Linked DNA regions of Notamacropus eugenii. The protein of the gene in region 4 interacts with the protein of the main gene of each other region in a pairwise test. Links are inferred from orthologs where the notes say so. Each region holds a gene or a part of one and is shown on either strand. Other genes may lie near its edges.

Region 1 (6,862 bases), on a different chromosome or scaffold from region 4:
TTCACGTGCACTACTGTAATAGTCTTCTACCGTCCAATGAATGCTTTCCTCCTCTGCTGAATTCCTCATTTGGAAATCAGGTCACATCACTTTTCTGCTAAAAAATCTACAATAGCCTTAATTTACTGCCTAGGCAAAGTTCAATCTCTTGTCTGGCATGTAAGGTACCCTCCAGTCTGGCATTACTACCGTCATACATCAACTATCTAGTTCAGGCCAAAGTGGCTATTCTGGGAATGTACCTTTAGGAATCTTTTTCATTAGTCCCAAAGGAATTCCCCTACCATTCTTTCGTCTACTGAATTCCTATCCATTATTTACAATTCAAATTAAAATGCCAACTCTTTCTCTGGGACCTCACGTAGCATTTTACATAAATCTCTAATGTACACATCATGTATAATTTTATATTATAATTTGTGTGTGTGTGTGTGTGTGTGTTATACTCTCCAGAAATACTAAGTACCAAGAATGTAGAATGATCCCTGACTTACCAAAATTCTACTTCCCCATATCCCTTGACAACGTAGATTTGGGGAGGCAGTTTATAGGATCATAGATTTAAAAATGAAAGTTATCTCAGATGCTATCTAGTCTAATCCTATTATTTTACAGGTAAGCAAACTGAGTTCCAGATACGTTAAGTGAGGTACCCAAGGTTATACAGGTATTAAAGAGGCAGAGAATTTAAGTGGGTCCTGACTCCATCTCCAAGCACTGTACCATGAAGTGGGCAATTAATACATGCCTATTGAATTGATTTGAGTGTATTCCCAGGAATGATACTTTAAAGTAGGTAGGACAAGTATTCACTTAGGAAACTGGCTCAGAGAAATTTTCATTCTTTAACCATGCCTCAATTTGGGGTAGGGATTCTTAACTTGGGATACAAAATAGACAAGAGGTCTGTGGAAAGATTTTAAGGAGACTGTGAATTTAGATGGGGGAAAAAGACTTCTTTTTAAAAACTAACCTCTAATTAAAATTGAGTATTTCTTTCAATTATTTAAAAACATTATTTAGGTGAGGGATCCATAGGTTTTACCCGACTGCCAAAGGGGTCCATGACCCAGGGGAAAAAAGGTTAAGAACTCCTGATTTAGGGCCATAGAATTTAGAGCTGGAAAGGGTCCTTAAAAACCACTTAGTGTATAACCTCTTTTAAAGGAGTCAACAGAGGCACGAAGAAATTAAGGGGACTGTGTCTTGCTCTCTGGTGGTGGTATGTAGAAAATATGTCACATCTAGATTAATTAAAATTAGGCTTTGGTTTCTAGACACTTTTCACTACACCACCCTGTCTCTGGAGTTTAACTTAATTAAAAAAAAGGCATTATTACTATTAAAAAACTTTTAAAAATATCACGCTTCCCCCATCTCTCCTACTCTCTCCCCCACAAACATCTGTGCACACACACCATGTATACATATATACATACCACATGCAGACATGAACGCACAACATATATACCTATAAACACACACCACATATACACTGTCCACAATACTGTCATATATGTAACACCACATACATACCACAAATATACTTTATACATTCGCACGCACATGCATGTACACCACATAAACATATACCCATGCATACAAAATACATCACATAACATATGCATACCACATGCATATACAGCATGCTTACACTCATACATGCACGCCACATATAACATAATCAGACACACATATATTCATAAACATATATTACATAAAATATGTATATACCATATATACACATATAAGCATACACATGTAAACACATACACACACCAGACATGACATACAACTACAAACATAATGTGTTTGTGTACACGCATGTGTATACATGTACGCAACACAAGCCACGTACATGTCTATATCCCACACTCTCAAGCCATATCACAGCACACATTTCGCCCACATAATACATGCTCGCACATGTACAATCACACACAATCATACTACATTCATATACGTATAAACATATACCACGCAAACGTAATCAAATACGCCACCCAATGACATGTGTGCTGTGTTGTATCCCACTCTTCATGACCTGTGAGGTGGTTCTCTTGGCAAAGATAGGCGAGGGGCTGGCCACTCCCCTCTCCAGTGGAGGTGATCTGTCTAGGGCCGCACAGCTAAGGAGTGTCTGAGGCCTCACATGAACCTCTAGGCACGGATCTACCTAGCTGCCTCCACCGCCTGGTACACACACCGCACATACACAATGACACAATCACACATGTGTTCGTACGCTACACACACATACAGACACCACACATACACACTCACGTACACGTGATCACATATGCACAATACACCACACACGTGTTCCCACTACATTCATACATGTAAGTACATCCCCCATATACACACTCACAGTCTACAATCACACCGCACACACACATACACAATCCACCACGGAAACCTGACCTCCCGCTCACGCTCTCCCTCGCCCAGGCCGCAGAGCTCCGAGCTCCCCCGCCACCTCCCTCCCGGCTCGCCTCCCCGTGCTCCGGCCGACCCCGGGGCAGTCACCTGGCAGGGCCATAGCCCGGGCGGAAGCAGCCTCTGGGCCTCAGCTGCCGTTGCCACCGCCGCCGCCGCCGCCGCCGCCGCCGCCTTCGCTCCCCGGACACCGCTTCCGGTGACTCCGGCTGCGCCGCGGGTTTCCCCTCTCCCGCCACAGCCTCCTCTTAGGGACCCGAGTCCCGAGGAAGACTACAGAACGCGGCAGTTTCAGCCGCAGTTCGCGGACGGAGGCATAAGACCGAGCACTGGTGGTCCAAACCATTTCTGACATATACATACACCGGGGGAGGGCGTTTAGGACTTGCCAATCGTTAACTAAAGATTGATTTAAAACAAAAGAAAGTTTCTTGCGAAGCTAGATAATTAAATGAATATTAACTTCAAGCGGATGCTCAGCGGGCTCTCTTCACTCTCTCCAGGAGAATTTCTGTAGGAGAAGGTCGAGGACACCCCTCCCCGCAGAGAGCGGTGCGCAGGGCCAGGTGCAGTATGGCGGCCGCCTGGGTCAGTTAGTGCCTTGTTAGGCTGTCGGAAGGGCAGGACCGGCAGTTGATGCCGTAGCTGAGGCCGCCTCTAGGAGCTGTCAGGACTGGCCCGCTGGGCTTTCCCTTCGCCGTGCAGCGCGGACGGTCAGACAGAGAGCCCTTGAGCCTCGTAAGGAGCCCGGCAGCGGATCTCCCCTCCCCCGACAGCCGTCCAGGATGAGCAACATTTACATCCAGGAGCCGCCCACCAACGGAAAGGTGAGAGCGCGCGCGGGCGCGGGGGAGCTTCCCCCTCGCTTCCCTGTTGGCGGGGTGCGCTGTGGAGAGCGCCGGCCGCACCTTGGAGTCGGGAGACCCGAGTTCGAATTCCCGCCCTGTCGTTTACGAGCCGTGCCGCCTTGGATCAGTCACTTACCTTCCCCGGGCCTTAGTTTCCTTGTCTTTAAAGTGAGGAAGCTGGACTAGATGACAGCTAAGGACATGGCAGATTCCATCCCCCATACTTGGGGAAGATTTGCAGTTGGACCCGACGCGAACTGGGTGCTCAGTTTTTCAAAACACACAGAGAGGGGAACTGTCTACTTTCTCCTCTTTCCCCCCAGCCTTCCTTCGACCTCAGAACTTTTGAAGCAGGGGACTCTTAACCCTCTTTTGTGTTCTGGACCCCTTTGCCGGTCTGGTGAAGTCTGTGGAACCTTTCTCAGAAGAATTTTGAATAATTGGTTAGTGAAAATAAGGATGTAATTTTTTTCCCATGCAAATTTACAGGAACCTCTTCCCCCCCACCCCCCCAAAATCTGTTTACATCCCCTAGGTAAAGAATCCTTGCATGAAAGGAAGCCCAGTCAAGTATTTATCATGAACCCACTATGATCCAAAATCCGGATTCTGGAATCTGGATTCAAAGGATCCCAAAGTGGGCGAAGCTGGAAGGATCCAGGCTCGGGGCAGGACTGGTGGTAGAAACCTTGGGTGCAGTTGGGAGAGCTTAATAAAAATAAGGGGCTGTGGAAGCACAAGGAAAGAAGAGAAGAAAATTTTGAAAAACTTTGTACATGTCTCATCTGTTGTGTAATGAAGTCAAAGTCCTTGTGAGTAAGTGATTTTCCAAATAAGCATACAAAGTGCAAGCTATAGCCCATCAGTGGTTAAGTCCAGGGGCAGGTCTTAAACAAGCAGATGTTGGCAAGTGAGGTTGCCCTGCATTGTCAGAAAGTCCAGAATATCAGCGGGAATCCCTGCAGGCCATGACTTTTTACAATAGGATACTATGTTCAAAATTTCAATGCAGTCAAAAACCCCACAAATTTATAATAAATTATTAGATTTAGCTTGTGTAATTTAAAAAAAATTTTTTTGAAATGATGCAAATTTTAAAAAACACTTTAAAGTGTTAAAGAAAACTTTCTTTGTAGATTTCCAGGGGTGTGCCAAGTAATGTTTTTTTGAAAAGGGTCCTTAAGCCAAATAAGTTTGGGAACCTCCTATCTAGATGCTGGAGATCCAGGTAGGGCCTTTGGTACCACCTAGTCCAAACCCTTCCTGTTGTAGATGTGGGAAGGGAGATGGAATGATGGGACTTGCTTAAGGTCACCTGGCTAGTAAGTGGTCAGCCAGCCAATAAGCATTTATTAAATGCCTACTACAACATTTATTAAACCCCTGTGACAAGTGCTGTGCTAAACGGGGATTCAAAAAGAGGGAGAACACAGTTCCTGCCATAAAGGAGCTCACAGTCTAATGGGGGAGACAACAAACAAACATGTACAAACAAGTTATATACAAGATAACTAGGATATAATTAAGAGAGATTTGGGGCACTAGAACTAAGAGGGGTTATGAAAGACTTTCAATGAAAGACGGGATTTCAATTAGAACTTAAAGGAAACCAGGAAAATTACTAGGCAGAGTTGAGGATGGAGAGCATTCCAGGCCTGGGGGACAGTCAGAGAAAATGTCCTGAGCTGGGAGATGCAGTATTTTGTTCCTGGAACAGCAAGGAGGCCAGTATCAGTGGATTGAAGAGGATGAGTACATTTCATAGAGTAAAGGCTTAAGAAGAGTAAAGGAGGGCTCTAGAATACGAAGGGTCAAACAGAGGATTTTTGTATTTGGTTCTGGAAGAGATAGGGACCCACAGGAGTTTTATCAAGAAAAACAGTCAGTAAACATTTATTAAGCACCTGCTTAATTGCCAGGTACTTTGCTAAGCACCAGGGATACCAAAAGGGTAAAAGAAAGTTCCAGGCCTCAAAAAGCTTATAATCTATGAGGTAGACCATATGCAAATCTATGCAAAGCAAGTTATATACTGGAGAAATAGAGATAATTGAAAGAGTGAAGTTTATTGAATAGACATGGTCGACCTTGCATTTTGGGAAAATCATTTTTGGTTGAATGGAGGGTGAATTGAGTGGGAGAGACTAGAAGCAGGCAGACCCACCTGCAGGCTATTTTCAGGGTTCACTTTAGAGTAATGACAGTGTCAGAGGAGAGAAAAGGGCATGTTTGAGAAATGTTGCTGCAGAGGTAAAATCAACAGGCCCCTGAGAAAAGATTGGAAATGGGGGTTGACAGTGAGTACAAGATAACTCCTAGGTTGTAAGCCTGAGGACTGGGAGGATGGCTTTGCCCTCTACAGTATTAGGAAAGGTAGGAGGAGGGGAGGGTTTAGGAAGTAAGATAATAAATTCCATTTTGAATATATTGAGTTTAAGATGTCTACAAGGTAGCTGAAGATGTGAGATTGGAGATCAGTAGAGAGACTGGGAAAAGAAGGGTAAATTTGAGAATCATTAGCTTTAAGGATGATAATTAAATAGATGAGATCTGATGAGATCAGCAAGTGAAGAAGTAGTATAGAGGGAAAAGAAAGCCCCAGGTAGAACCCTGAAGGATATCTGTGGTTGGAGGGCATGATCTTTGGGAAGATCCCACAAAAGAGACAGAGAAAGAGTGGTCAGATAGGTAGGAGGAGAATCAGGAGAGTCATATCCCAAAAACCTAGAGAGAAGAGAATATCAAGAAGAGGATGATCCATAGTCAGAGGCTATCAAGAGGTCAAGGAGACTAAGATTTGGAAAATTTTGCCACTGGATTTGAAAACTAAGATCACTGGTAACTTTGAAGAGATCAACTTTGGTGGAATGATAAAGGTCATAAGTCACATTATAAAGGGTTAAAAAGAGAGTGATAGGAGAAAAAGTAGAGACACTTAACATACATTGCCCTTTTAAGAAATTTACCTACAAAAGGCAAAAGAGAAAGAAGAGAGGGGATGGAAAGATCAAGTGACATGTTTTTAAAGGTGAGGAAGACACGAATATCATTTACATTCAGTAGGGCAGGAATTTCATAGATAGGGAGAGACTGAAAATAAATGAAAGAGTGAGAATGAGAAAATTGCCCTTTGTTGGAGGAGCTGGAATAGAATGGGATTAGTTCAGCAGGTGGTTGGATTATCCCTGGTAAAGAGTAAGGGACCTTATCATGTGAAATGGGTGAAAGGAGATAGTGGCAGAAGCATATGAGTGATGTGAGATGAGGAAGAGGGGAGAAGAGGGAGTGCATGATGAATGGCCTCAGTTTTTTTTCTATAAAATGTGAGCAGGTGAAAAGAAGAACTGCCTAGCAAGAGTGAAAGTTGAAGTTTCTGGGTGAGAGCCCAGTTGAGGCTATGTTACATAAATTTGTAGTAGAATGGTTGCATGAGATTTTCTCCATCATCATTTAGCAGCACATATGTAGATGTGGGTAGTTGTGAAGGAGGTGGATGGAGGAAGTGATCCAAGGCTGAGGCTTGGCAGGATATAATTAGTGATATGCTAAGAGTGATAGAGAGTTAAACAAAGAGG
Region 2 (6,955 bases), about 190 Mb from region 4:
ATCCTTTCATTCTCTTTGAAGCATGGAGGATTGGCAGGGGATCTTTTCCTTCTAAGACTGAGAGGTTTTTCAATGTATTGGAATCCCAAGGAACTCTAGTATTCCTTTTCCATTATCAATAAGGTATCCCAGGACTGTATGTCTTACACCCTGACAGTATGGCTGTAACTCCAGGACTGGGCAGAATCCTGAACTCATAAAATATTTAGACTAAGATTTTCAGAAACCTATTTTATTGATTCTCACATCTATATATTCATTAATCACTGACCAAGATGGAGCAAAAGTCCTCTGCTGGGATCGTAAGATGAGACTAACAAGATGAAAACTTACAGGGAGAAAAGGAAAGACCTGAGTCAAAATCAGCTAAGGGGAGAAGTTTGGGGCACCCAGGCAGTGCAGAGAGTGGTGCTGGGCCTGAAGTCAGGAAGACTCAACACTGGGAGTTCAAACCTGGCCTCAGGCATGTACTGGTTGTGTGACCCCAGGCAAGTCACTTCTGCCTGTTTGCCTCAGTTTCCTCATCTGCAAAATGAGCTGGAGAAGGAAATGGTAAAGCCCTTCAGTGTCCCTGCCAGGCTTCTGGAGCCCTTTTGAAAAGTCCTAGGACAATGACTGCGACGCTATGGGACCTGGTACCACCCAGGCCAAAAGATGAGTCACTGAAGGAAGTGAGTACTCCCTGGGGACTTGAGAGCTACAAGCCAACATCTGAATCCTGACACGTAGCTCTGTCATGCAGGCTCGTCCTGCCTGGCCCTCGGGAATGGAGGGCAATTACAGGAAGGCAGATTTCAAGAAAACATAAGGAAAGATGTTTCACAATCAGTGCTGACAGGCAAGGATCACTGAGACTTCACAATTCACTTGAGGATCCCTCAGCTCGCTTTGTGCTTTGGGGAGGAGTTAAGGCAAAAATTACTTCAAAAGTCTCTTCTATCTGCCACTCTGTGCTTCCAATTCAAGAGTGAGATGTCATGGGTCACGGGAGTGACAAAGTGGGTGAGTAAACCTGTCACCTTCACTCTGCCAGTTACCAAGGGGGTCACCACCTAAAAGCTGCTGGTCAGAGTCTCAGTATATGCATACAACCAACTTATTTTCCCTTTCACAATTTGCACTAATTGGTAACATCAATTGTAACAGAAAAGGATTAATTTAGCCTCCATTGTGCCAAATCAAATGTACATAAATGGGCTTAAAGAAGTATCATCACAGACCTACTATACCAACCTTAACATACTCCACAGCCCGGGGTGAGAAGTCACACGCATAAGCAAAGATATTTCGATCTTCTTCTAAAAGTGGGAATAAACAGTTTCCAACCCCACAGCCAGCTTCAAGGATAATCAACTTCTGATCATCAAACTGAGGGGAAAAAAAAAAGAGTAGATGTTATATTTGCATGATCAGCAAATGAAACTGCTAATTCTCACCTATTCAAAATCTAGGTCTTATTGCTGAATAGAAAGCATGTGATAATTCTATGTTCTATTTGTGTTGTCTTAATTTGTGTTGGATTAAGTTTCACTAGCAGCTTCGAGTAAATGGTTTGCTGGCCAACTGTATTTTTCATGTCACAAGCACCAAGTAAGCCAGATAAGATGTGCAGAGTTTAAGACAGCAGGACAGCAGAAAAGACACCTTCAAGTAGACTGCTAAGCATTTAACGAATCTCCAAAACCTGAGACCCATTCACTGGCATTTACTTAACGCCCACAAAAGCAGAGTCAACTAGCATTCGTTAAATGCTTACTAGGTGCTGGTACTTCTGAGCTAGAGTTGGCCTCAGAAGTCAGGAGGACCTCGGTTAAGTCCCGTGAGTAACTTAATCGCTAATACCATAATTTACAGGGATGTTGGATCAGCACGTTTCCTCCCCAGGAGTCCCATTCAGGCCTTATTTCTCTTATCAGCCCTCCCTCACAAGTCATCATTATTTCTCTGATGGCATGTTTTTCTTTGGCAACGAAAGACAAACACATACTATCTTTCTTATACAGGCAGTATTAGTTGACTTACCTCCCTACATGCCCTCAGTTCCTCAAACTCTCTGGTGGTCCAGTGTCTATCTTTGAAGAAATTTGTACTATTTCTCTTGTAAAACAGGTCCCAATTCTTCTGGGCCTCCTTTTCTAGTTTTGCCTGTTTAAAGGGAGACACAACTGTACCATCTCTGTCTTGAGGCCTGCTCTCTTGTTCTTTCTTCCGAAGTAGATTCTCTCCACTGGTGGACATTACCACGTGTAATCCCATTAAAGAGTCTTCATCCTTGTAATTCCCAGATGAATTCATCTTCCTGCAGCCCTTTTGAGGATAATTTCTTTTAGCTAGGTTTCCTCATGTTCATTTTCAGGCAGCAATTCCCCCGACTCAAACAGGATCAGGAGCTAAAAAAGGAATAAAAATGAGAATACGGTCAGTTGAACATTTTAAGGTGGATAAAATGAGATAGTATTTGTAAAACTGTATTTGCATCACCCAAAAATCAAGTGGGGAAATCCCACTCAGCAAAAATCCAGGTCTTCCTGGATTGTTGAATGAGAGCATGTGATCATTTTATATTCTATTTCTGTTGTTTTAATTTATGTAGATTAGAAGCGACATAGTAACGGGTTCATTGCTGGGCTATAGCTTCCTGTGTCACAAGCGTACAGTGCCTGCACACAGTAGGCACAATATAAATGTTTATCCAAATGAGACGACTACGAAGCAATTTTAGCACAATGTACGTGGCACACAGTCATATAAACAGACGCAATTATTATTGTTGTGGTGATATTTTCTTCCCTTCCCCAGAGGATGGTTCAGCAGAAACAGAATTCCTGAAAAATCCAGTATTTAATAAGTGCCCACTATATGCCAGACTATGTGCCAATGTAATTTTTGTCACACCCACTGTGTGGGAACAAGAAGGAAACCATGGCATCTATTGGGGGAGGGGAGTCTAACCTCAACATCCCCCACCCCAGGCTGCCCCCCTAAACCCTGCTCTGCACCCTGCACCCCAGGCTGCCCCCCTAAACCCCACTCTGCACCCCCCACCCCAGGCTGCCCCCTTAAACACCGCTTTGCACCCCGCACCCCAGGCCACCCCCCAAACCCCGCTCTGCACCCCCCACCCCAGGCTGCCCCCCTAAACACCGCTCTGCACCCCGCACCCCAGGCCACCCCCAAACCCTGCTCTGCACCCCCCACCCCAGGCCGCCCCCCTAAACCCCGCTCTGCACCCCCCACCCCAGGGGGTACAGCCACGTTTTCCAGACCAGGTACCACGGGCCCTAGGGAGGTGCGGCTGGCCTCCAGGGCCTCGAGGGCCTGTCCAAGCGTTACCCCCTGGGGGCAGGCTTGCCTTTGTATTTCCAGGGCTGGGTACCAGGGGCCAGGCTGGGGGCTGGACGGCCCCTCACCCCCACTTTGGCCAAGCTCGTGGGGGGAGCAGAGCTGCAAGGGACGTGGGGTCCAGCCCCCTCGTTTTACAGAAAAGGAAACTGAGGCCCAAGAGTCAGAGAGCCGGGGCTCCTCCCACCCTCATCTTGGAACAGAATTTTTACAAACCGGGAAACTGAGGTCGGGGGGGAGGAGAGGGCTTGCGTGTGGCCATGGGGCTAGTCAGTGGAGGGGCCGGGATGAGGACTCTGGGTCTCCAGGGCCTCAGCTTCCTCGTCTGTAGGATGGGCACAACCTCCCTAACTGGCCTTACCTACCCGGCTTGTGGCGAGCGGCCGAGTCGGCCTGGGGCCGGGGCCGGGGCCGGGGCCGGGGGCGCACGGACAAGGCCCAAGGCTGGCGGAGCAGGTGCGCAGCCCTGTCCCAGAGCAGCTCAGCCCGTACCCTCCCAGGCGCGGACCGGAAGTGTGCTCAGTCCCGGGCCTCGGTCGGAACGCTTTCCCTGTAGCACTGCTCCGCCCCACTTCCGGTAGGGGCGGTGACGCCGGAAGTTCCCTCCCTATTCCCCATAGACCCCGCCCCTGGCGCGGCGGAAGCGTAGAAGGAGATTCCGGCCTCTTTTGGGGGTCGCCCCCGCCCCCGCAGCCTCGGAGCGGAGCGGTGTCCCAGTTGCACCATTCCCCCCTGCCTCTGCCGGAAGTGCCGGCCGGCCCTCAGGGCGGGGGCGGCGCTGAAGAAACCGGCGTAGGGGTCGGACCGGGCGGTAACTGGAGGCCGCCTCCCCCGGCGGGGAAAGGGCCATGAACGGCACCGCGAACCCGCTGCTGGACCGCGAGGAGCACGGCCTGAAGCTCGGCGAGAGCTTCGAGAAGAGGCCCAAGTCCTCCTTCCACACCATCCGCTGTGAGTACCCGCGGGCCGGACCGGCCTCCCGCCCCCGACCGAGCCCCCTCCCCCCCCGCCCCGGGCCCCGGTGGAGTCCTCCGCTCCGCCCTCCCGCTTCCCGGGACCTTCCCAGCGCCCCCCACAGACTCCTCGTAGACGCCCCCGGCGCCCCTCCGCCCCGCCCCCCTCCCGAGGCCCGGCCCAGGGGCTTCCTTTAGCGTCCCGGTCTGACCCGTGAGCCCCGCGCGGGGCGGGGGCGGCCCGGCAGTCCGGACGCGGGAGCGGTCCGCTGGACCCTCCGGACAAAGGAGGACACTGAGGCCCGGGGTCGCGGAGCTCGGCCCGTCACTCCTCGCGCTTTTCTCTCGCCGTCATATCGGGCTGTTGGGTTTTCCTCTTACGCCTCCCAGAAAAGCCCCGTCCGACCCAAAGCCTTCCTCGTGGAGACTCGGGGCGGCTCCGCGCGGGCTCCGTGTGGGGGGCGGCCTAAGACGGCCCCCCCCGTCAGCGGGGGCTCGTGGTGTTGGGCGCTCACCCGAGCCAGGGCGACGTCCGAGCTCTCAGCCGGGCCCGCCAGGGGGCCCCGGGTCAGCGGCCCGGCCGGGCCTGACCGTGTCTGTCCTCCCAGATGACTTCAAGCCGGCGTCCATAGACACCTCGTGCGAAGGAGAGCTGCAGGTGGGCAAAGGGGACGAGGTCACCATCACGCTGCCGCACATCCCGGTGAGTGGGCCTGTGTCTAAGGCCGGGAGTGCCCCGCTGTGCCAGGGCTGTGTCTGTCCTTAATGGTTTTGGGTGGTAATGGGGTAATATTCCTTACAAGGGTCAGCTGCTTAGAGGAAAAGTGGCTAGCACCGCCTTCACCAACACGTGGCTGCCCGGAGCCTTGGGCCAGGCTGGGAGTCACCTGGGTGGAGGGTGGTGGAGGGTGGAGTCCCCCATAAGCACCTAAAGCCCAGGCCGTGCGTGGGTCCAGAATTAAAGGGGATGGACAGAGATGGCAGGCCTAAGGCCACAGGGTCTGGGCAGCTGGGATGGAAGCAGGACGTCTCCGTAAGAGGAGCCCGGGATCAGAGATCAAATCGAGGTGTCGCGTCCCAAAGCAGAACTGATCCAGAGAGGTTTGAGCCCAAGATGCTGAAAAATGGGCACCTGAAGGAAGGTTCCTTGAGAGGGAGGAGACGTGTTTTTGTCCCTGAATCTCCAGGCCCAGTTTGGGGCTCTGCACTTTTTTGTCCAGAATGGGGATGCCACTGGTGTAGGGAATTCTTGGGGAGCAAGGTCTACAGCTTTGGGGGGGAGGGGATGGACCAGAACAGAGAAAGATTTGACTCAGTAAGATAATAGAGATAAAATGCTTTGGCAACTTCGTAGCATGTAACCGATGTCCATTGTTACTGTCTCTGTTAATGAGACAGCATACCAAAATTAATGGGATGCAGCCAAAGCAATTCTTAGGGGAAGTTTTATATCTCTAAATGTGCAGATGAGTAAAATAGAGAAACAGGAGATCAATGACTTGGGCATGCCACTAAAAAAAGCTAGAAAAAGAACAAATTAAAAATCTCCAATTAAATATCAAATTAGAAAATCAAAGGAGAGATTAATAAAATTTGTTTAATTTTTAAAATTAAGAAAACTCGAACTAATGAATAAACCTAAGAACTGGTTTTATGGAAAAAAATCATTAAAATAGATAAATCTTTGGTTAATTTTATTTAAAAAAAGAAAGTCAAATTGCAAGTATCAAAAATGAAAAGGGTGAATTCACCACCAATGAAGAAGAAATTAAAGTAATAATTAGGAGCTGTTTTGCCCAATTGTATGCCAACAGATCTGACAATCTAAACAAAATGGATGAATATTTGCAAAAACATTAATTGCCCAGATTAATAGAAGAGGAAATAAAATACTTAAATTATTACTGTCCCTGTTTTAGGATCATTTAGTCCGCTCAGGGATAATAAACATCATATCACTATTTGTCTTGATCCCCAGGGGGAACCAAAAGCTATCCCAGAAATCAGTACATTTTGTTCTATATGCACAACTTTAACTGGTAAGAAAAGGATGGAAATACTTTAAATTAGTTGGGAGGGCTTTTTAAAATGAGTCTGAGTTACTCATGCTAGCTAACCATTTTAAAAGATAGTCACCTTTTTCTAGTTAGTGGCACATTCCATGTGTCATTTAAGATGACTGTCTTGTGCTTTTACTTTAAATAGGGATCGACACCTCCAATGACTGTGTTCAAAGGAAACAAAAGACCCTATCAGAAAGACTGTGTTCTTATCATTAATCATGACACTGGTGAATACGTGTTGGAAAAACTCAGTAGCAGCATTCAGGTCAAGAAGACAAGGTGAGTATCTGATGAATCCATACCAGCACACATCTGCCATGGGGCAGTTGACAAAGCCCATCCCAGGACCTCTGGTGACATGGGATCTCTGATATCATTAGTTTGAAGAGCTCCCAGCAAAAAAAATGGTTTAGTAGATGATTCCTAGCGAGTTCCCCGAAGCCCCCAGATGTTGGTGACCTGCTCAGGGGCACACAGCTTGGAAGCATTCAGTCCATGGCTGTGCTGCTTCTGTGGGATACCAATGAAGGGACTGAAGGTCAGAGAAGGGCCTCCAATCCAGGCTGTCTCCCTCTAAGCTCTGTGCTCCACCGGGAA
Region 3 (7,736 bases), on a different chromosome or scaffold from region 4:
GTAATCTGAACATCTGATGAGCATGCCATCTACACTTTCCTCCAAATAGATCACCGCTTTTCTGACAGGCAGCGGGCTCATCAACCAGGAAGAATTATTATCAACAACATCCTCATCATCTCACGTTTCTACTATGCTTTACCAACAAGAGCCCCGTGAGTTAGATACTGCAAGGATTTTTTAGCCTAATTTCACAGGAAGAAGCTGAGGCTCAGAGAGGGTAAGATGACATTAGAATGCAAGTTCTTGGCCATTAGGGATTGTTTCATTATTTGTTATGTGCATTCCCCAGGGCAGGGTACAAGTAAGTGCTTAATTGTTCCTGCTCATGAACAGAAGCTTACTCAAACCCATGCCTTGCTCCAGTATCTCCCAAGCTGCTCTTTATTCTTCTCACTGTACCTGACTGCTTCAGTTCATTCTATCTTCTCACAAACAAAAGAGAAAACAAGAAGACCATTTCCCATATCTTTCTCCTGACATCAACTCTTCCTTCTCGAGGATAAATGACCCAGAGAGAAACTATGGACAAAGTTTAGGGCCCATCTCTCTGTAGATGGCCAGCTCCCTAGCTCTACCACCCCTGTAGCTCTACCATCCCCTTCTAGGGAAGAGGAAGGAGAGATGACTAGAGACACTCTCTGTTCAGCCTTCCCATAAGGGAAGAATTCTGAACTTCTAAGAGACTGAGTATCCAAGCTAGAATTGGAGGAAAGAACAGCCAAAGGTTGGGAAAGCAGCCTGATGCCTGAAAGAGTCTGCGATAGACAGCAGGAGATCTGCTCTCTGGTCCTGACTCTTCCATGGACTCAATATCACCTTGGCCAATTAATTACCTTTCCCTCTTTGGACCAGTATCACCTGTAAAAGGAGCGGGATGAGTGAGGTGGTGTCAAAAATTCCTTCCAGCTCTAACATGCTATAATTCTACATTCTGAGATCCATTCTAATGTCCCATGACATTAGACCTCTGTCGTCTCAAAGAGCTCCTTGTCCAATATGGGAAACAAAGTCTTTGCTAACATGGAGCACCCTGTGTGAAGACTGAGGCACTATCCCAACTGACCAGTTCTTCAATGTCCTCCTCTGATCTGAAATGCTAACAGTCACAGACTGGGTAGTATCAGAGACAGAAAGTGCCTTCTGAGCAGAGGACATCTGAACTGAAAGAGACCTAAGAGATCACCTGGCCCAACGCATATTTTACAGATGAGGAAACCAAGACTGAGGGAGAAATCACTCGTAGGATCACAGATTTAGAGCTGGAAATGACCTCAGGTCATCAAGTCTAATCCTCCTCATTTCTACAGAGGAGGAAACAAGTCCCGAGAGATAAAATGACTTGTACAGGTCACACACGTGGTGAATGGAAGAGCTGGGATTGAAACCCAAGTTCCACGACATTTTCTAGGGTCTGGAAGGGCTTCACTGACTTGTCCGAGGTCACAGGGAATCCAGGAGCTAGTAATGGAAAGGAGGCTGAATGGGGAGGAGGGTGGCCTGGGCTTGCATCCGGGCTCTGCCCGGGTCCAGCTCTGCGACCTCAGCCAAATCCAATGTTTTTTCTCCCAAAAATAAAAACATAAATGAAAAAACCCTTTCACAAAGTGACTGAGGAAAGCATTTTGCAAGCCTCAGCCATAACTCCCATTCATACAGCCCTGTGAAGTTTTCAAAGCACACGACACACCAAGTCCAGTTAGTGCGGGCGGCGGTCACAGAGCAGGGAGCTGGCCCCGGGCGGTCGGGGAGGTCTGGGCCGTGGGCGAGCCGGTAAAACTGGGATAACCACAGCACCTGCTGGTGTCCTGCAGATCCAGAGGTCAGCAATCTTTAAAGCGTTATGTCCATTATTAGACATCCCCTCTGTCCCCGATTCAGCCAGTCTTGGGCCTTGGCAGCCCATGGGCGGCCCCCTCCCTTCACACCTCGGACGTCACCCCTCAGTTCTCTCGCTGCATGCCTCCTCGGCTCACTCCACTCCCCGTTCCCCACACGTGCCGCTGCAGATCCCGCCCCCCTCACTCCACCTATTAGGCCTCAGATGCACTCCCTCAAGCTCCGCCCCAGACTCCCCTCCTATAAAGCCCGAGGCATGCCTCCTCAAGACCCCCCCCATCTCCTAACAGAGCCCAGGCACGCCCAAGTCCCTCCCCTAGCTTTCTCTCCTATCAGAGCCCAGGCACGCTCCCTTAAGTCCCACCCCTAGCCTTCTCTCCTATCAGACTCCAAGGCACGCTATCTCAAACCCCACCCCTCTCCTATCAGGCTCTAGACGCGCTCTTGCAAGTCTCACTTCCACCTCTCAGGCCCCAAACGCACTCCCGCAAACCCCGCCCTCACCCTCCTCTCCTATCAGGTTCCAGGCACGCTCCCTCAAGTCCCGCCCCCACCCTTCTCCTATCAGGATGCAGGCATGCTTCTTCAAGTCCCGCCCCTATCCACTCTCCTATCAGGCTCCAGGTACGCTCCTTCAAGTCCCGCCCCCAGCCCTCTCTCCTATCAGGCTCCAGGTACGCTCCCTCAAATCTTACCCCTTTCCTATCAGGCTCTAGACGTGCTTTTGCAAGCCCTGCTCCCGCCTTTCAGGCCCCAGGCGCATTCCCGCAAGCCCCGCCCCCACACTACACTCCTATCAGGCCCCAGGCGCGCTCCCGCAAGCCCCACCCTGCCCCCAACCCCCTCCTCTCGGGCCCCCCAGGAGGGCTCCTGCAGGCTCCGCCCCTAACCCCCCTCAGGCCATGGCACCCCCCCCCCCCACACACACACCTCGAGTTCGTCCCTTCAGCTCTTCAGGACCAGGGACCCCAGCGTGGCCCGTGGCCCGTCCGGCTCCAGACCCTCTTGGACCGCAGGCTCCTCGACCCAGGCCCAGCTTGGCTCACCAAGTTTCGCAGTCTGCCGGGAGGCTCTTCCGCCGCGGCACAATAAGGGGGGGGGGGGAACAGGCCACAGCGGAGCGGGCACAGGAGAACGCCCGCCGTTACAGCCCCAGCCGGAGTGGGCGGAGCCGCGGCCGGAAGGCCCGCCTTCCCCCGCCCCTCTCTTTCCTCGATCCTCTTTCCCGCGGGGGCGGGGATGGAGAAGGAGTTGGCAAGGTCCTGCGGTTCCGTCGGTCACCGCCGGGAGGCGCTGCGGGGCCGGGCCTCGCAGCCTACAGAGGGCGCTTTCACGCCTCGCCGCCTCGGCTCCGCGCCACGTTCACGGGCAGTCCGAGCAGGCCTGCCTCCTTCCCGTTCTTCAGAGGGGGAACTGAGGCGGAGGCCCTTGAGCGCCGCCTTCCCGGGGACCGCCCAGGCGGGGGGCGGGGACCGCCCAGGCCAAGGGGGGGGCGGGGGGCGGGGACCGCCCAGGCCAAGGGGGGGGCGGGGGGCGGGGACCGCCCAGGCCAAGGGGGGGGCGGGGGGCGGGGACCGCCCAGGCCGGGGGGCGGGGACCGCCCAGGCTGGGGGGGGCGGGGGGCCGGGGACCGCCCAGGCGGGGGGCGGGGACCGCCCAGGCTGGGGGGGGGGGCCGGGGGGCGGGGACCCGCTCAGGCTGGGGGGGGGCGGGGGGCCGGGGACCGCCCAGGCTGGGGGGGGCGGGGAGCGGGGGGCCGGGGGCCGGGGACCGCCCAGGCCGGGGCGGGGGGGGGGTAGAGGGCGGGGGGCGGGGACCGCCCAGGCTGGGGGGGCCGGGGGGCGGGGACCCGCTCAGGCTGGGGGGGGCGGGGGGCGGGGGGCCGGGGACCGCCCAGGCTGGGGGGCCGAGGGGCGGGGACCCGCTCAGGCCGGGGGGCGGGGGGCCGGGGACCGCCCAGGCTGGGGGGGCCGGGGGGCGGGGACCCGCTCAGGCGGGGGGGCCGAGGGGCGGGGACCAGCCCGGCCTCGTCCTCCAGCCCGACTCCTGGAGGAGCGCCGCTCACACCTGCTTCATATGGCAGCCTCTCTTTGCGCCCTGGCTTCCCCCCTCCTCGGTGCCAAGGCCGGGGCACCTCCTCCGTCCGCGGCGGGTCTCCTCCCAGGGGCTCCACGGCCCCTCGAGGCACTGTGTGGGGCTGGGGATGCGGCGCCTTCGTGCACACGAGGACTCCTGGAGCTAACCTGGAAGGGCACTAGGGAATGAGGCACAGCCAGGGCAAAGACCTGGAGATGGGAGAAACAGGAAGATCAGTTTGGCTGGAAAGGTAAGCTGGGGTCTGGGGGTGAAGGCCTTCGCAGTGTCGGATCCCACGGGCAGTAGGGAGCTGTGGGGAGGACTCCGCGCAAGGAGGTGGCGAGGGCCTCGAGGCCACCTGTGGACCTCCAGGTCCTCGAGTGCTGCCCTGCCATTGGAGCCACCTTCATAGAACAAATCCTTCTGTAAAACTTGGACTCGGTCAAAGGGCTGCACCCGAGGACCTAGAACACGTGGCCTCGAGGCCACCCCTGGGGAGAGGCTTGAGGCAAAGGCCAGTTGGAAGGCTGTGTTTGAGATCTGATTAGATATGGGGGGTTGCCAACCTGGGTGACTGGCAGAATGACGGTGCCCTGCACAGAAGTGGCGGGGGATGGAGGGTATAGGATAACGTGGTCCAACTGGAGACTCCTGAGGAGGAGCCGGCGGTGCAGCTGGGCAAAGGTCCAAGGGCTGGAGACATGGTTCATGTGTTTAACCTGTGGGCACTAAGGGTATCTAAGGGTATCACAGGGAGAGCATGTAAAGAGTGAAGACTCAGGACAGAATTCTGGCAGGCCAGGGGCACAGGGGAGAATCAGGAAGATGGAAGAGGGGGGACAGTATTCAGGAGGAAAGGGTGGTCTGTAGTGATAAATGCTAAAGGGGTGAAACAAGTGAGATATGAGGGAAAAGCACTAGATTTGTCGATTACAAGATGATCAGTCACTTTGGGAAGGGCAGTTATGGTTCCCATACAAAGAAACTGGGCTGGACAAGGCTAAGGATCCCCTCACTGGTTCCCTTGAATGTGGTCCTTTTGTCACAAATTTAGAATCTGAGGCCACAGAGCCACCTGTTCTCTGCTTTTTGTTTCATTTTTTTAATTAATTATTTTCAGTTTTCAACACTCACTCCTTAAGATTTTGAGTTCCAAATTTTCTCCTCCCTCCTCCCCCTATCCCAAGATGGTGCGCAGTCTGATACAGGCTCCCCATATACATTCCTATTAAACATATTTTCACATTGATCATGTTGTAAAGAAGGACTAGAACCAATAATTGGGAACCACGTGAAAGAAGAAACAAAAAGAGAGTGCACAGCCTGCTTCGATCTGCATTCAGACTCCACAGTTCTTTCTCGGATGTGGTGGCATTTTCCATCAGGAGTCTTGGATCCCTGCACTGTTGAGAAGAGCCAAGTCTGTCAACAGTGGTCATCGAACAACACTGCTGTTCCTGTGCCCAGCGTTCTCCTGGGTCAGTTTGCTTCACTCTGCATCAGTTCATGCAAGTCCAGGTTTTCCTGAAATCCGCCTGTTCATCATTTCTTATGGAACAATAATATTCTATTACGTTCAGATACCACAGCTTGTTCAGACATTCCCCAATTGATGGGCATCCCCTCAATTTCCAATTTTTGCCACCACAAAAAGAGCTGCTATAAATATTTTTGTACACGTGACTCCTTTTCCCATTTTTGTAATCTCTTTGGAACAGAGATCTAGAAATGGTATTGTGGGTCAAAGGGTATGCATTTTTGTGTCCCTTTGGGCACAGTTCCAAACTGCTCTCCAGAATGGTTGGATCAGCTCACAGTTCCACCAACAATGCATTAGTGTTCCGATTTTCCCTCATCTTCTCTAACATTTATCACCTTCCTGTTTTGTCACGTTAGCCAATCTGATAGGTGTAGTGTGGTACCTCAGAGATGTTTTGATTTGCATCTCTCCAGTCAATAGTGATTTACAGCATTTTTTCATGACTATAGAGAGCTTTAATTTCTTTCTCTGAAAACTTTGACCATTTATCAACGAGGGAATGACTTGTATTCTTATAAATTTGACTCAATTCTCTATATATTTTAGAAATGAGGCCTTTATCAAAGACATTGTAAACATTGTTTCCCATTTTCTGCTTCCCTTCTAATCTTGGTTGCATTGGCTTTGTGCACTTTTTGGTTCATTTGAAGCATGGGATTTCTGACATGGAAGGCAGTGTAGGCTAGTGCTAGATTTAGAAGTAGTTAACTTAGGTTTAAATCCCTGCTGCTGCTTACTCCCTTCTGGTCTGTGTGACACAGACTCTCTGGGACTTGGTTTCCTCATCTCCAGTGATGAGATTGGTCTAGATCAGGTTTTAAACACACTCTAGGAGGCACAACACTCCCAACAGAGCACTGTCTGAACGGGATCAAAATGTAATTGGGAAGATGTTTAATCAAATAAATAAAAATACAATAGAACACAGATAATGTTGGTGTGTGACTTTCTAAGTTAATGTAAAGATCTTCAGAGATCCTTATGTACAACTTCATGGCTCCCATTTCTACTTGAGTTGGAGACCATTAACATTCCTTCTAGCTCTCAATCAATGATCCAGTGATAAATCGATCAGAAAATGTTGACTGGAAAACAAGTACTCTTTGGCTGTGAGCGCATGCATGACCCGACAGGAAGCCCTTCACACCCCTCCAGGTCAGTCAGTGTGGCCTCCATGGGTGTTGCCAGTCCCAGAACAAGCCATGCTCGTTCTTGTTTGCTTCTGTGCTGCTCCTCCCTGTGATCTCTTCCCTCCCCTTTTTAAAAAATCATTGACAATCTTTATTTTTGAATGAATGAATGCAAAAACATTTATTAAGTACTTGCTATGTGCAAACACGGTGCTAAAAGCTGGAGATAGAAATACAAAAAGGAGCTTATTTCTAATGGGAGAGCCAATACGCATAAGAGGGTATGGTGGCTAAGGATGGAATTTTGATCTGGAAGGTAGAAGAGATGATGAGTGGAGAGAAAGGGGGGTCATTGACACACTTTCTAATAGGAATGGTAGTACTGATTATGATTCCAGAGCTGGAAGGAGGGAGTGAGGGAGGCAGGGTGGGTTGCTACAGTGTAAAGTGAAACAAGGAGGGATATAATGAAGCATTCACCGGTCAGAACAGTGGGGCCACAGGACAAGAGTATGGTTTCTGGCCCAGTTTGGAGGCTGGCAGGGCTGATGGCAAGATGGCCAGGGTGTTCTCAACTTTCCCCACTGATTGAATCCATCCCTGAAGTCAGTCATTAAACACTTATTAAGTACCTATTATGTGCCAAGCAGTAGGGGTACAGAAAGAGGCAAAAGACAGTCTTTGTTTTTGAGGAGTTCAGGATCATGGGGGAAACAACAGGCAAACAAATTTTATACACACACACGTATATATTTTTATGTGTTATATATACATACACACATATACAAACTATATACAGGAAATATTGGAATTAACTCAGGGAAGGTACTAGAATTAAGAAGGGTTGGGGAAGGCTTCCAGTAAAAGATGGGATTTTAGTTGGAATTTAAAGAAAGTCGGGGAAGTCAGCAGATGGAGTGGAGGAGGAAGCGCATGGGGAGAATGCCTGGAGCTGCTGGATGGAGGTCTTGACTGTGGGACAGCCAGGAGGAGTACATGGCAAAGAGGAAGGTGGAAGAAGACTGGAAAGGTAGAAGGGGGCTAGGACATGAAGGGCTTTTGAAATGCCAAACACAGTACTTCTTAGAGATAACATAAAGTCCCTGGAGTTGATGTGAGTAGGGGTGTGACATAGTCAGATCTGTATTTTA
Region 4 (7,263 bases):
AGTGGGGGAGGTGGGGCTTCTGGGAACAGTGTATATGGACTTGGTCAGTTGGATCCTTCTCTGTCAGGACACTGTCCAGTCCCCGCCTCCTCTTGCCCCCTCCGCCCCTCACAGCCACATCCTCTCTCCCCCTTCCAGTCCTGGGGCGGGTGTTGGAGGTGACAGATCTCCCTGAGGGCATCACCCGCACAGAGGCCGACAAACTCTTCACGCAGCTCGCCATGTCCGGCGCCAAGATCCAGTGGCTCAAGGACGCTCAGGGGCTGCCAGGCGGCGGGGGCGGGGGCGGTGGGGGGGGTGGGGGGGACAACAATGGGACTGCCGAGAATGGCCGGCACACAGACCTCGCTGCCTTATACACCATCGTGGCTGTGTTCCCCAGCCCCCTGGCGGCCCAGAATGCCTCCCTCCGCCTCAACAACTCCGTGAGTCGCTTCAAACTTCGAGTGGCCAAAAAGAACTATGACCTGAGGATCCTGGAGCGGGCCAGCTCCCAGTAGGCAGAGGAGGGGAAGAGGCCAGCACCACGGGTTGGGGCAGGGTGGTGTGGGCAAGGGATGCAGAAAAAGCACAGATAGAGATGCTGATCCAGACAGACATGAGACATGCATAGAGATAAGACATAGATATGGAGACTGAGGCCATAGACAGTGAGACAGGCAGACACAAACACACACAAACACACACACACAAACACACACACACACACACACACACAGAGGACTCAGTCTGGGGTTTTCTTTGCCACCTTTTCCCTCTCTTTCTCTGGGTGGCACCTCTCCTCTCTGCCTCCCTTTCCCTCCAATCCTCTCCCTCCTTTTTTGGACATCCCTTTTTCCCCATCCTGGCCTCCAATGCATTTCTTTCATTTTGGAGGGGTAGTATGGAGGGGTCCTACACTCCCCCATTCCTCCCCTTCTCCTGCCACCCCATCTCCTCTTCCTCTTTTTGGTCTTTATGAATATATTTATATGGACAGAATTAAGAAGAAAAAAATAAATTGATTTTCCCCCTCCTTTCACTTCCCCACCATCTTGTCTCCCCTATCCCATGAGTTAAACCTGTGCCTACCCCTCCTCTATCCACCCCAGCCCCCCAGAACACTTGTATATTGTTTGTTTGAGGTTCGTGCCGCAGTAACAGACACAGTATTTAATTGCACATACAGATGTTTGCTGGGTATGTTCACTGTAAATTTTATTTAATCTGGGTTTTTTGTTTGTTTTGGGGGGTTGTTTGGGGGGTTTTATTTTATTTTATTTTTGTTTTGTTTTTAAATATAAAAAAAAATCATCTGTCACTGGACGTCAGTCCTGGTTTCTCTGTTACTGCCCTTGGGAGGGGGTTGCAGGGAAGGATTTGGGATAGAGTGGAGTGGAGCTGCCTTCCAAATGGATGTGATCCTGCCACCCTCTTTCATTCTCCCATCAATCCTCCACCTGTTCCTGTAGGTGTCTAAACCTTTGGCTTCAGGTCCCTGATGGGGCAGGTATGAAGTGAGGACATGAATGCAGCTGAGTTTCTGGCCCAGCCCTCATCTTCCACTTTCCCCCTGAAGTCTTTTTTAATACTGTGCTGGCAGGTAATAGGGGAGTAAGTGTTCCCTGCAATAAAAGCTGCATTTCCAGAACCTGCAGTATTTTGACTTCCTCAGTCAGTCAGGATAGTCTCAGCATCCCCTTTCCTACATACAGGAGAAAGAAAAGTCATACCTAACAAATTAGCCCTATGCTATATCGCCACATACCCCTTTTTGATCCTCATGCCTCTCAGTAAATCTCATTTTCCTTAAGTTGCCCTCGATCCTAAGATATCTTAAGAACCCAGATGCCTAGAAGTAGATCCACCTTCAAGTTCAGCCTACACAAAACCTCACTGCCAGAAACTTACTGGCGATCTTTGACCCCACTGGACCCCATGTAGAAAGGAACAGAAATGGGTTGAACAGCCTGAGCTTTCACTTGGGGCTAGGTAGCTTCTCTATTGGGTTTTTTCTGACCCTCCAGTCTAATCCAGCTGTTAGAGGGTCTTCATACTTCATACTTGGAATTGGTGAGGCAATATGTTGTCATTAACAATTTCTCTGCTGTGGTAGGAGTATCTCCCCGCCAAGCTATCCCCCTACCCAAACTAATAGAAGAAGAATGGCTTGGTACAGTGGAGAGAGCCCTGGACTTGGAGTCAGAGGCCTTAGGTTAGAATTCCAGCTCTGCTGGCTCTGTTACTCTCTGGGTGATCTTGGGCAAGTCACAAGGTCTCTTGGTATCAGTGGCCTCATCTTTAAAATGAGGGGGTCAAACTAGATGACCTTTCAGGTCTCTTCCAGTTCTAGAAATCTGTTACCCTATGATCCTGTGACATGCACTTCAGGTACAAATTGGCCATATTTGTGAAGTCCATGTTCTGGGGCATTCTGGTGTGGGGGAAGGGGAATCAGGATGTTGAGAACCATCAGAGAGAGGGGGAATGGGAGGGCCATCTTGCCCCTAAAGTCTTCTTGACTAACATGGTGGGAGGGTCAGGAAATAGAGGTCTGGCGATACACTAGTTATGAGGACATTTTCTTAAGTAGCTGAAACTATCTCTCCATTGTTGTTTCTTGTAAACATGGAGGCAGCTCCCCCCCACCCCCATCTGGTCATTGGGTTGTTGAGATTCTTCATTCCCTTTTCCCATATGGATCCTAGACCACTTTCAGTCACACTCGGGCTCCCTGCCAGCGTGGTTGGGATGGGAGATTGCGGGGAATGAATGTCCAGATACGATTCAAGAAAGGGGGCCATATTAGATTGTACAGTTCTTTGCAAGACAGGTAAGCTATCCCCTTCCCCTCACCAGGGATGAGGAAGCAGCCATATCTTGTTGAGAAGTAACCCTGTGAACTTGAGTTGTCTTTCTTTTATCTCCCACCCCAGTTCTCAGCCTAGGACTACATCTGCCTGAAGTGTTCATAAAGGGACAAAAAGCCACCCTTGATATATTCAAATGTAGGTGCCCTACAAAGACTTGGGGAAGGATGATGTGAATAGGTGGAGTTGAAGCCAGTAGCCTATGGCTTCTAAGGGTGGGTCCGGAGTAGATAGAAATGATGAAAGTGTTTAGTTTTCAAAGTGGAGGAGGGGCAGGTTGTAACCTTTTTTACTCCAATCAACTTTCCAGAATCCCTCCTAAAGGGGCACAAAATATGAGCGGAATTGTCCTGTAAAGCATTTAGTTACTACTATACTGAACATAGGTGAAGGGGTGGGGATAGGGCAGCTGTTATCTCAGCCAGTTGTGGCTGAAGAGATTTGGGGGAGGGAGGTCAGGGTCCAACACTGCCCCAGGCCTTTTAGTTTCCAATTTCTCTGTGTCAGCTGTGTTGCTCAGCTGTCCACTCTCCTCTAGCCCTGTCACTTAAGCTGTGACGCTGAAGGGAGAGGCTAGGTCTGCACGCACCAGCTGGGGAGACGTGAGCACCAAGGGTATTTTGGGGGTATAAAGCCCCCCGGGCAAGAGGACAAAGCCTTCTTTTTCCATTCCCATCCAACACCAACACCAAGCCTCCTAACCTGGCATCCTCTTACCTCCACTGGCTGTGGACTGACATAGGGAATCCCAAACGTAAGTTGCCTTTTCTTACGACTTACCAGACAGTGACTCCTTGGGCTCCCACATCTCTCAGCCAGTTCACCTCTCCCGTTTGCCTTACCTGGCTGTTAAGTAGTCTGGGGTGTACCAGTTCCAGTCATTTCTTTCCCTGAAGAAAGGGCTGGGATCAGGAAAGAGGGTTGGGGAGTTAATGTCCAGGGTATAGAGTAGTAGAGAAGGGAGGTCATATTACATTGAAAACTTAAAAATAGCCAACCCCCAAGGCAGGCTGGGGCAGGGCCTGACCTAGAGGTAGTGTTAAAACGCACTCCCACCCCCAGGCTTGGAGAAATGAGGGGAGCGGGAATTCTCTACCTCTTTTCTCAAAGTGAGAATTTGGGGGAGGGAGAAAAGGAATCCAGGGAAAGGTTACATAGGGTCATATACAACTGCCTATAGCCTTGAAGAAAAGAGAAAGCCTCAAAATGAGAAGTCTGTCTTGATGGAACTTCTACAAGGGAATGGAGGCTGTCTTCCGTAGGCCTACCTCGGTCATCTCCCAGTCTGGGCCCTTATATGGAGTCTCCTTGTTTAGGCTCCTTTGTTTATTAGTCTCTCATTCTGGAAGAGGGAGATAGAGACCCCCTTTGTGTGTCTCAGCTTAAGAGACCTGCAGTTCTCTTCCCAAAGCTCTATTTGTCCTATCCTACAAGGTGAGTTGAGTCCCTAGAAGTAAGAAAGGGAGGGGGGAGGGGTGGCAAGGAAGGATGAAAAATCAACAGTGGGATCCCCACTCTTGCAGGATGACAGAAAAAGAGGTTCTGGATTCTCCCAAATCTTTCCCAACAGAAACACCAAAGAGTGGGGTGAGTCTGGGCCTCTGACACAGGGCTTTGATAGGTGGGAGGGCACACTAACAACCCCACTCTTATCTGAACTGATGGTTACAGAACTAGAGGCTGTGGGGCTCATCTCAGTTATGTGTAATTTATTTAAGGTACATTTGCCCTACACACACACTCTCACTCCCTCTCCCCTCTGGGGAACATCTCAACCCTTGACCCAGAACATTTCCCAGGTGGTTTTAGCCTAACGAAGTGGAACTGTAGTCTGAATCTTCCCTTTGCTCCTCCCTAGCTACAAAGGCTGAAGCAATTATTCAGGAAGGAGTCTGTAGAAAGAAAGGAGATGGAGCCCCCCTCTGAGCCCCAGGCCAATGGAGAGGCAGTAGGGGCTCAGGGGGGACCCATCTACTACATATATGAGGAGGAGGAAGAGGAAGAAGAGGAGGAAGAGGAGCCACCCCCTGAACCCCCTAAGCTTGTCAATGACAAGCCCCACAAGTTCAAAGATCATTTCTTCAAGAAGCCCAAATTCTGTGATGTCTGTGCCAGAATGATTGTTCGTGAGTCTGGGAAATAGAGGAAGATGGGATGTGTAGAGCGTCATGGGACTGTGGGTTGAAGGGACTGGGAGAGAGATCAATATTGCACAAATTTAGATGAAGGTGGGGACTGTTAATGGATGTGCTTAGAGAAGCCTGGATAGGTTGAGGCAATCTAAGAAATGAAAGAGGAGTCACTCGGGATTGGGGTGATGCTGGAAGCAGAGGAGTAGAGAAAAGGTTTCGTGATCTCACCCAAATGTTCTTTCCCTCTACCAAGTTAACAACAAATTTGGGCTACGATGCAAGAACTGCAAAACCAATATCCATGAACACTGCCAATCCTTTGTGGAGATGCAGAGATGCTTTGGCAAGATTGTGAGTTAGGTCTGGGAGCACGGGGGTGGAGGGTAGTGTTGAGGACATCTGTACTCTGGATGAATGCTTCATAAGTTACCCCCATTCATTCCTTGGTATCTGCTTCCCCAGCCCCACTCATAAAGGACAAAACCCCCCTGAATAAAGGAGGAAGGCTCCTGGGTGCAGAGAGGGGGCTTTTGGGTCCAGGGCCCTCTCCCCTTGTCTCAATCACCTTCCTGTCTCCCCCACAGCCCCCTGGTTTCCGCCGAGCCTACAGTTCTCCACTCTATAGTGACCAGCAGTATGCCTGTGTCAAGGACCTACTGTGTAAGTTGCCTTTATTCCTCCACCCAGTTGAGGGAAATATGCCAGAAAATTGATTGTTTCTGTAGTCTGGAAGCTTCTTGGTCACCATGACTGCACCACTCCTGACTTGGGAAACTGAAACTTAAGACTGAAGTCTCTTGATGCCTAAATTCTAGACACCCTGGTTTTATTCTCATCCTGAAATTTTTAGCCACTCCAGCTTGTAGACTCTTGGAAGGAATCCATACCTATCTTGAATACCAGCCCTGTTGTTTCTAGGCCCAAGTGTCCCTGAGTTCTAAGTAGAAAGCAAAACTTCTAGTCTCCCCCCTCACTTCCCTGTTACGTTCTCAGACCTCCTTCCCCACCTGTATCCACTCAGTCCTGCTGTCTTCCACAGAAGAGGACCCTCTCTTCCTGTTCGTCAGTAATGTTTCCTTCTCTTTCCTATGCCCCCTTTTACTCCTAGCCAACCGAAATGACCCTGTTTTTGAGACACTTCGAACTGGAGTGATCATGGCAAACAAAGAGCGGAAGAAGGGACAAGCAGACAAGAAGAACGTGAGCTTCTTCTGCCCCTTTCATGGTTGGAGCCCCACCCCCTTCCCAAGAGACCTGCTTGAGACCCCTCAGGAATGCCTAATAAAAATAATGGCTAGCATGTCTGTAGAGCTTTAAGGTTTGCAAAACCCTTTACAAATATCTCATTTTATCCCTGGAGGATAGGTGATAGTAGTATTACCATCCCAACTGTAAAGATGAAGAAACAGAGGCAGGCAAAGGTTAAGAGACTGGCCCAGGCTCACACAGCTAAGTAATATCTGAGGTCACATTTGAACTCAGATTTTCTTGACTTTGCCACAAAGCTGTTCTAGATTCTCCAGATTATCCCTTAGAACTACAGCTGGGGGACTGTGACTGCCATTGAGGGGGAGGAGAACAGTAGTTGGGCATTATGATGAGGTTATCAGGTAGGATGCTTTTAAGAAGAGGAAAATATGTTCCTGCTAAACTAACCTTGTTTCACTTTCTGATGAAGCCATTGGACTAATGGATCAGGAAAATGTTAGTTGTGCCTTGACTTGAGCAAGGCATTGCTGAATGCTTTTAAAAAGCAGATTCTGTGAAGTAACCAAGTGCTTTTAGACCTGCCTGGAACAACATGTTTGTCAAGTTTGTGGATGACCTGAAGCAGGGACAGGTAACCAGTGTGCTAGCTGACAGAATTACAATTTAAAAACATCTCTTAGGGCTGAAAAGATAGGCAGAAATAACAAGATGAAGCCTAATAGGAATCAGTATACCTTGTTTACATTACCTCGGTCCTATTCCTTTCCTATTTTTACCTCATTTGAAGGTTCCATGGAAAAGGAGAGGCCTTAAAAGAAGAGACTTTTTATCAAACCCTTGATGAGCCAAGTGCATATTTTGTCAAGTGGAAGCAAGGTGGTGCAGTGAATTGGACCTGGTAGGTCTGAGTTCAAATCCTGCCTCAGATGCTGGGACCCTACCCTCCCAGGCTCAATTTCCTCATCTGTAAAAAGGAGATAATAAAAGCACCCAAGTCACAGGGTTGTTTTGAAGATAAAATGAGTTAACATATAAAGCCTTTTGCAAACCCTAAAGTGCTATTATAATGCTAT

What was found.
Region 1: the proteins of STAC3 (region 4) and SREK1IP1 interact in binary tests that used the Homo sapiens proteins (3 or more experiments, as listed by UniProt). The two-hybrid records come from large-scale screens. The link is inferred for Notamacropus eugenii from reciprocal best matches to the Homo sapiens genes STAC3 and SREK1IP1.
Region 2: the proteins of STAC3 (region 4) and EAF1 interact in binary tests that used the Homo sapiens proteins (3 or more experiments, as listed by UniProt). The two-hybrid records come from large-scale screens. The link is inferred for Notamacropus eugenii from reciprocal best matches to the Homo sapiens genes STAC3 and EAF1.
Region 3: the proteins of STAC3 (region 4) and C1H1orf35 interact in binary tests that used the Homo sapiens proteins (3 or more experiments, as listed by UniProt). The two-hybrid records come from large-scale screens. The link is inferred for Notamacropus eugenii from reciprocal best matches to the Homo sapiens genes STAC3 and C1orf35.

Annotation. Positions count from the first base shown.
Region 1 is NC_092875.1:319,600,101-319,606,962, forward strand, and holds the start of SREK1IP1 (protein SREK1IP1), read right to left. Parts: upstream 3,007-6,862; 5' UTR 2,543-3,006; coding exon 2,530-2,542; intron 1-2,529. Other genes in the region: spliceosome-associated protein CWC27 homolog, read left to right, coding at 3,225-3,266. UniProt on the Homo sapiens protein: Possible splicing regulator involved in the control of cellular survival.
Region 2 is NC_092874.1:38,508,196-38,515,150, reverse strand, and holds the start of EAF1 (ELL-associated factor 1), read left to right. Parts: upstream 1-3,949; 5' UTR 3,950-4,190; coding exon 4,191-4,293; intron 4,294-4,507; exon of another isoform or gene 4,508-4,709; intron 4,710-4,903; coding exon 4,904-4,998; intron 4,999-6,500; coding exon 6,501-6,637; intron 6,638-6,955. Other genes in the region: tRNA N(3)-cytidine methyltransferase METTL6, read right to left, coding at 1,234-1,368, 2,023-2,295. UniProt on the Homo sapiens protein: Acts as a transcriptional transactivator of ELL and ELL2 elongation activities.
Region 3 is NC_092872.1:9,916,470-9,924,205, reverse strand, and holds the start of C1H1orf35 (multiple myeloma tumor-associated protein 2), read right to left. Parts: upstream 3,007-7,736; 5' UTR 2,770-3,006; intron 1-2,769.
Region 4 is NC_092874.1:232,680,158-232,687,420, reverse strand, and holds the start of STAC3 (SH3 and cysteine-rich domain-containing protein 3), read left to right. Parts: upstream 1-4,241; 5' UTR 4,242-4,337; coding exon 4,338-4,436; intron 4,437-4,707; coding exon 4,708-4,975; intron 4,976-5,234; coding exon 5,235-5,332; intron 5,333-5,565; coding exon 5,566-5,641; intron 5,642-6,089; coding exon 6,090-6,181; intron 6,182-7,263. Other genes in the region: R3HDM2 (R3H domain-containing protein 2), read left to right, coding at 115-500. UniProt on the Homo sapiens protein: Required for normal excitation-contraction coupling in skeletal muscle and for normal muscle contraction in response to membrane depolarization. Required for normal Ca(2+) release from the sarcplasmic reticulum, which ultimately leads to muscle contraction.